Arabidopsis thaliana: one gene and its partner. The protein of the gene in region 1 purifies or fractionates together with the protein of each later gene. This does not show direct contact. Each region holds a gene or a part of one and is shown on either strand. Other genes may lie near its edges.

What was found.
Region 2: the proteins of AT2G07110 (region 1) and AT4G32175 fractionate together in Arabidopsis thaliana (co-fractionation; one large-scale study listed by BioGRID). This does not show direct contact.

What each region holds. Positions count from the first base shown.
Region 1 is NC_003071.7:2,952,028-2,955,169, reverse strand, and holds AT2G07110 (exosome complex exonuclease RRP46-like protein), read left to right. Parts: upstream 1-1,961; coding exon 1,962-2,193; intron 2,194-2,256; coding exon 2,257-2,357; intron 2,358-2,440; coding exon 2,441-2,560; downstream 2,561-3,142. Other genes in the region: AT2G07120 (F-box associated ubiquitination effector family protein), read left to right, coding at 448-522, 579-1,565.
Region 2 is NC_003075.7:15,533,305-15,538,116, forward strand, and holds AT4G32175 (PNAS-3-like protein), read left to right. Parts: upstream 1-2,129; 5' UTR 2,130-2,250; coding exon 2,251-2,301; intron 2,302-2,384; coding exon 2,385-2,459; intron 2,460-2,595; coding exon 2,596-2,682; intron 2,683-3,057; coding exon 3,058-3,114; intron 3,115-3,495; coding exon 3,496-3,588; intron 3,589-3,698; coding exon 3,699-3,771; intron 3,772-3,855; coding exon 3,856-3,931; intron 3,932-4,019; coding exon 4,020-4,233; 3' UTR 4,234-4,298; downstream 4,299-4,812. Other genes in the region: CYP96A2 (cytochrome P450, family 96, subfamily A, polypeptide 2), read left to right, coding at 468-1,988; PANK2 (pantothenate kinase 2), read right to left, coding at 4,420-4,512, 4,597-4,668, 4,768-4,812.

The DNA of each region.
Region 1 (3,142 bases):
AGGTTAACAATTAAAAACAGAATATATAAACAGAATATTTCTCCAAATATTGTCTTCTTGTTCTTAACTCTTAAGAAATGAATTTTTTTTCTTATTTCTTACAAAAATATGCAGTTCTTATTGAAAGATATATTTCTTTCTTTTTTATAAACAATTTAAAGAATAATTGTTTTTTTATTTATTCCTCAAATCTATGTTTTTAACTTCTTATCCTTGAGAAATAATTATTCAGTAATTTTATTATTGGAAGATAAATCTCTTTCCTAAATAATTATTAAGAATTATTTGACATTTACTTTTAAGAATTATTTAATATTATCCCCAAAAAAGGGTGTTATTTCATTTTCGTAACAGATAAAAATATTCCTTTTCTTATTTATTTGAGTCGTACACGCGGTGGTATATATATAGATTCTCCTCTAAAGCCACCGAAGTCGGAGAAAGGTAATGGCGTCGGGGAAGCTTCCGTGGGAGTTGGAGGAAGAGATACTGTGTCGGCTTCCACCTGGATCCCTTGTTCGGGTAAGATCCGTATGTAAACACTGAACGATCTTCTCAACGACAAATGGTTCATCAAGAAAAGCTTGGGTTGTGCACGTCCCCAATTTATCATCCTGCCCGAATCCAAGATTTATTCGATAGGAACCATCGGCCTGGACGACTTTGATCCGAAGATAGAGGTGCGTGAGCTAGCCTGTCAATTTCATTTTAAGGCTGAGAAGTGGGCATTTACCAGGATCACGGCTTGCGATGGATTATTGTTTCGTGACTTTTGGAACCAAGGGGTTACCATTTGGAATCCATGGTTAAGACAGGTTGGGTGGATCGAGTATAAGGAGGACAGAGATTTCCGTTTTTGCGGTGTAGGATACGATGCTTGTAAACCCGAAAAGGATTACAAGATCTTTGGGTATTTTAGTCGTTTCTATGACACTACACTGAAAATCGGCCACAGATTTGCGATCTTTGAATGTGCGTCTCAAGCGTTTAAGTTCATTGATTCCCCGGAATGGCCAATGCTGGCAGGTCGAGGTGAATATGTGTCCTTGAATGGAAATTTGTATTGGACTGCTTACAATGAAGATACTCGTGAGCATTTTCTCGGAAGCTTTGATTTCTCCACAGAAATATCCATGCACTTTTGTCTCCTTCCTTGTGGGAAGCATGTTTCTGGCTTACGAGATAAACTTGTCCTCACTGTATTTAAGGGCGATCAGTTTGCATTGTTAAAGCAATCTCGTATATCAAGTAATACAGAGATTTGGGTAACAAATGACATGATTAACTCTAGTAATAATGTGGTGTGGTTAAACTTGATGACACTGTCAATACCTGATTTTCCCTCGCTATTCCATCAGCTTTCTGATATTAGTTACTTCATCCATGACATGACCCTTATCCTGTGCTGTGACGACAATCAAACTGGAGTGGGTTGCATCTTTATTGCGAGGGGAGACTTCTGCAAGAAGATTCAAATAGATTCTGTCTCTCTTGGGTTTTCTCAATGTGTCCATCTTCCAAGTTTGACCTCGGTTCCTTTGGAATTCAGATCACTGCAAGTTTAGAATTTCGATTTTTCGAGTACAAACAGTCTTTGAAATGTGATTCTTTTTTCATGTCTTTTATATTATACTAGATAAATACCCACGTGTAGCGTGGGTTTGTTTTGAAAATTGTGAAGCGTGAGTTTGTTTTGAAAATTGTGAAAAACAATTATTGATTGTTTTTGCTAATTTATGTTTATTTTTTATTCGTTATTATGTAGTTAATTAATAAAACTAAAACTATCTTATGTAGTTACAATTTTTAAGATTATATCTTTTTTTTTTACTTGAAATATAACTCGTGAAAGACTTACTTGTCAGCTGAAACCTCTTGCTTATTCGCGTAATATCCTTCATCGTCCTCATGGCTCTCCTAGTTGGTCAGAAGGTACTTTATCAGCTTTCTCAATATCTATTATGGGTACAAAGTTGTTTTTATCCTTTTTGAATGGGATACATGGAACTCTCTCGTTTATATTTTCAGAGGATACAAAAGTTCTATCTGCGCAATACGGACCTAAAGCAAGAACGAAGAAGAACGAAAATGCTGAGAAGGCTTGTTTGAAGTCATATGGAAGCCTTAAACCGGATAGATTGGTAATCGTAAATGCGTTTAGTTTTTCAGAAAGAGGCTTGTTTTGTCGCTTGAGTATGTAGTACAGGTGATTCTTGGTTTTTAGATGTGAATTTCTTTTGCTTTGAATATTGATAGGAAAAGTTGAAAAAGAGTATGAAACGATACTGAAAAGGACGCTACAGAGTATTTGTGTTTTGAGAGTTGTTCCAAATACCACCACCTCAGTGATTATTCAGGTGAGTAACTATTCAATGTTGTGTATATATATATTGTCAACTTGAGTTGTATCTGATGTTTTCATTTTGTAATTTCTGTGTAGGTTGTACATGATGGTGGTTCTGTATCGTTTTTATGTTCCTTTCACCTTGGTAAACATTTACTAATGCTGTCTGAAACACATATAATCCGGTATAAACAATGTCTGTTTGAGTATTTATAGAGTTTATAGTAGTGAAAGTTTGTAATCCCATAAACTGAGAGTGTGAATATGTTTTTGTGTAACTTCTACCGTGGCCTCCATTCTGGCAGTTAGAAGGTATTAAACGTTTGTTCTAAAGAAATATGATGTACAAAAAGGGAGACTATGAAGGATAGAATTTACGAAGTCGAGAAATTTACCTTGAGATTCTTCTTCTTTCATATTGAACGATCTAGCAGAATAAAAAAAAAAATACAAAACAGTCATACAAAACAGTCTTTCAAATTACTTGTTTTCTTAGCATAAATCTCGAATAGCTTAGATATATTTAATTTGCATATTTATTTAGTTTTTTCATAATAATCATCTAATTTTTAGGCAAGGAATATGTGTATCATGTTTGGATTTTATTTTTTTCTTCAAGATTAGTTTAAAAATTAAATTAGTTTTAAATATTAACTGTTAATTAAAATAGTTAAACTAATGATTTTAGAAATGAGAATTATTTAAAATTTTTAAATGAAAAACTCAAACTTTAAGAAATCATTTCTTAATAATTTCACTATTACTTTTTCATAATTAATTTAAGAGTTAAATTTTACG
Region 2 (4,812 bases), on another chromosome or scaffold:
ATAGCAAGCAATTTTGAGGGAAGAAAACTGAAACTAGATAGAGAATATTAAATGCTAAAAACCTTTATCATCATCTTTGGACAGGATGAAGAAGTTAATGACATTTCCTTTAGCGCTCATAGAGCACACTCAAAAGTCTATGTGCGTGAATCCAGCTCATTCTCTAATGGTTTCAATAAGTTTTGATTAGTTGATAAAGTTACAAGGGGCAATTATAACAGTTTTCAAATTATTGAAACACTTAGGTGTATTATCACAAAAATAAAAAGTTAGGTGTCATTGGCAATTTAATACAAGTTTCTAATTTGATGATATACATGCATTAAACGTGCTTTGCAGTTTGTGCATATAACGAAATTTAGTGTGTATTTTAAAAAGCATCTCCTTACTTGTGCCCTGAAGTGTATGCTTATAAATTTAGTTCTCATTGTGTCAGCAAACTGTGTGTTATCAATTGCCTTACTCCAATGGCTTCAATAAGCTTACTTCAAGTTTCCGTAGCTATCCTTTGCTTTCTCATCCTTCATTACTTTCTCTTCAAGAAACCTCATGGCCGGTACCCTAGGAACTGGCCGGTTCTCCGGATGCTACCCGCTATGCTCAAGGCGCTTCACCGAATCTACGACTACAGCGTGAAGATTCTCGAAACCTCTGACTTGACCTTTCCATTCAAAGGACCGCGGTTCACAGGAATGGATATGTTGCTCACGGTTGATCCAGCTAACATTCATCATATAATGAGCTCAAATTTCTCAAACTACATCAAAGGACCGGAGTTCCAAGATGTTTTTGATGTGTTAGGAGACAGTTTCATCACCACGGACTCGGAGCTATGGAAGAATATGAGGAAATCTTATCAAGCCATGCTCCATAGTCAAGAGTTTCAAAGGTTTTCAATGAGTACCATGACAAGTAAACTCAAGTACGGTCTTGTTCCCCTTCTTAATCATTTTGCTGAGGAAGGAACAACTCTTGACTTGCAAAGCGTCTTCGGGAGGTTCACTTTCGATACAATTTTCATCCTTGTAACTGGTTCTGATCCTAGATCTCTCTCCATTGAAATGCCTGAAGACGAATTTGCTAAAGCTCTCGACGATGTTGGAGAAGGGATTCTTTATAGGCATTTTAAACCAAGGTTCTTGTGGAAGCTGCAAAACTGGATAGGATTCGGACAAGAGAAGAAGCTCACTGAAGCTAATGCAACTTTTGACCGCGTGTGTGCCAAATACATATCAGCCAAGAGAGAAGAGATTAAAAGATCACAAGGGACTTCCAATGGAGGAAGTCAGGATCTTTTAACTTCCTTCATAAAGCTAGACACGACCAAGTACAAGCTCTTGAATCCGAGTGACGATAAGTTCCTTAGAGACAACATCTTAGCTTTCATTCTAGCGGGAAGAGACACAACAGCCACCGCTCTCTCTTGGTTCTTCTGGCTTCTCTCTGAAAATCCACATGTGGTAGCCAAGATTCATCAAGAGATCAACATCAACACTGATCTATCAAGAACAGGAAATAGCCAAGAGAATGTAGACAAGTTGGTGTATTTACATGGTGCGTTGTGTGAAGCAATGAGACTCTACCCACCAGTTTCCTTCGGACGCAAGTCTCCAATCAAATCAGATGTGCTTCCAAGTGGCCATAAAGTTGATGCAAACTCTAAGATTATTATCTGTCTTTATGCATTGGGGAGGATGCGAGCGGTTTGGGGAGAAGATGCATCGCAGTTCAAGCCAGAGAGATGGATTTCGGAGAATGGAGGCATAAAACATGAGCCTTCCTTCAAGTTTTTGTCGTTTAATGCCGGTCCAAGAACTTGTCTAGGTAAACATCTAGCTATGACTCAAATGAAGATAGTGGCAGTGGAGATATTACGAAACTACGACATTAAGGTTCTCCAAGGACAGAAGATTGTGCCAGCTCTTGGTTTTATATTGTCAATGAAACATGGTCTTCAAATCACTGTTACTAAGAGATGTTCTGCTTGAAATTATTCATGTATTAAATAAAAAAATCATTTTGGTTTGGTTTTGATTTGGTTCTTAGTTTTTTTTTTTAGTTTTACGGTTTAAGTAAACCGAAATCCTAATATTGACTGGTTCGGTATAGTTTTGGTTCAAAATTTGCGTGCAAAAAAAAGAAGAGACTGTGCAGTGTTGTTCCTTTCTGGGTTCTCATCGTCGTCAAGGAACAAGCTTTAACAGAGTTTAACATATATTAGGGTTCTTATCTCCAAAACCCACCTCACTCATGGCTGCCAAAGTTTCTGTCTCTCCCACAAGCCTCTTAAATCAGATTGTGGTCCGTATATCTCTAAAAAGTTGGCTTTTTTATGATTTCGATTCGATTTGGTTACAATGAAGCATGGTGTTTTCAATTTTTAGGTTCCAGGTGATGTTGTTCTTGATTTGTCAAACATGAATAACCAAACAATCAAGCTCGGAAGTGGCCTTCTTCAGGTTTCATCTTCTTCTCTTTCTTATGTGTTGTTTGAATCCTAACAATTATTCCAGTGGGCACTTGATTTGTGATATACAATTGCAACTAAAAAGGAATTGTAGATTGACATGTGTTTGTTTTTTTGGCTTATTTTAGGATAATGATGCTATCTCTGCCATGAGAGCTGGCAAATTAAGTTACTCCAAGCCTAATAAGTATTGGCTCGAAAGTTCTCATAAACGGGTGAGCTCAGTGGTCTTACTAATCTTCCCTTTCTGGTTGCTTCTCTATTGAGCTTCTTGTGGATTATAACTGTGTCATCTGCTCGGATACTAGGTCCACTTGATTAATCATGAGTAGAAAAGTAACAAATAACCTGGCACAATTGCATCATGAAGAATTGAAGATTTGCCTTTTGTAGCATTTTGACAATTTGATGCTTTTGTGGATCATTCTTGCTAGTTTTCTCCCTAGTTATTTGATCATATACATCTGGCTTGATAAGACAATTTACCATTTTTGGTTTTCAAAACTCTAGTAGAATATTGTTTTGTTAATTATCTATGTAAGTCTCGTTCTCTTTGTTGCTGACTCTGTTATTATGTTTTTTTTTTGCAGTATATACCTCGCCCTGATGATCATGTTCTTGGAATCGTGGTCGATTCTAGGGCAGATGTAAGTCCTTTGAAATCATTGCTTGTATAGATTCTTGTGTTGTTTTTGGATCCCTCTCAGACTGGTCATCTCTGAAAGCATTTTATTATACTTTAGTTGTCAAATACGATACAAATATATGTTTGTCAGTTTCCGCGACTTCAGTCCTCATTTCTCTGAGCCAATAAAGGTGAACTTGTTTGTTGATGGTCTTGGATCAGTAAATAAATAGGTGGGAGTATTGAAGTTATGGTCTAAAATCAGAAGAAAACTGATACCATTATTGGACAAACAAATGTTAATTGACTTTTAAATTATCAGCTGCAGTTAAGCTTTCTTGCATGAACTAACATCGCCTTAGTAAGTACTGAATTGTTTCTTTTACTCATCATGTCATTGCAGAATTTTTGGGTGGACATTAAAGGACCTCAATTAGCACTTTTGCCAGTTCTTGCATTCGAAGGAGGAACACGAAGAAATATTCCCAAGTTTGAGGCATGTACATTCTGATGACTCAGGAAGCTCTCTTGAATTCTCATTTGGGATATGACATTCTCTATGAATTGATTGTTTCTGGAATGTTCAAATTTTTGTGTACTAAACAGGTAGGCACTCTGCTTTATCTCCGGGTTGTCAAGACAAACATAGGAATGAATCCGGAGCTGTCTTGTACCGAGGGTAAGTTAAAAGCTTTGGAGGCTAAAACAGTGCTGCTTCTCTTAATCCCTTTTAAACTAATTGTCTCTTGTTTCTATGTATTAGCTAGTGGGAAAGCTGCATTATTTGGACCCTTGAGAGATGGTTTCATGTTTGAAACTTCAACTGGTCTTTCAAGAATGTGAGATATACTTCCTCATAAAAAATGTCTCCTTATACTTTATCTATCTTCTTTCGCCATTACAACTTTACTTTCTCATCTCTTATAGGCTGTTGAATTCACCAACGCGCCCGGTCATTGAGGCTCTTGGAAAGAAACTCTCGTTCGAGATAGCTGTGGGCTTAAATGGCAGAGTTTGGGTAAATGCGACAGCTCCACGTATAGTCATTATCGTGGCCAATGCAATAATGAACTCGGAATCTCTAAGTGGGACTCAGCAGAGAATCATGGTTGAGAAATTGCTCGCGATAATTTCAGACTAAACGTTATTGTTCTTGAAATGTAACTGAACCCTCATGATGCTCTTTATAGCAAGTGATTTTGATTCATTCAAATACAATTTTATACAGTAAAAGTGTAGTCTAAATAAAAATACATATGCCACATGACGAATGCTTAATCTGTATACAACAGTAGTCTAAAGGTTGAAGAAATGATACATAACATTGTTAAAGCGAGGGAGGCTCGTATCTGCATACACAATCATATATGTTTCCTTTTATCAACTTCTCAGCCAATCTCTGATTTTTAACCATTGCTAGCTGCCAAAAAGGAAGAGAAGGTTTCAGCCAAAAGTTTCAATAACAGTTCTAGAGCTGAAATTTTCTGTCAAGTGAGGTTTAAACCTTGAGAGCCTCGCATTGGAATTGAGCGTTGAAGTTGGTGTGAAGTGCTCTTCCCATACCTTCCAAGACAACCTGCAATATTGTTAAACATCAAATAAAGAACAAAGCTTCTCTTTTTTGATGTGTTTGAAGTTTATGTCAGGTAGAAAACAGAGAAGGTTTTGTAGATACAAGATCAGCGTCTTTGGCAGCGGCTGCAAGCTCAGAGCTGACTTG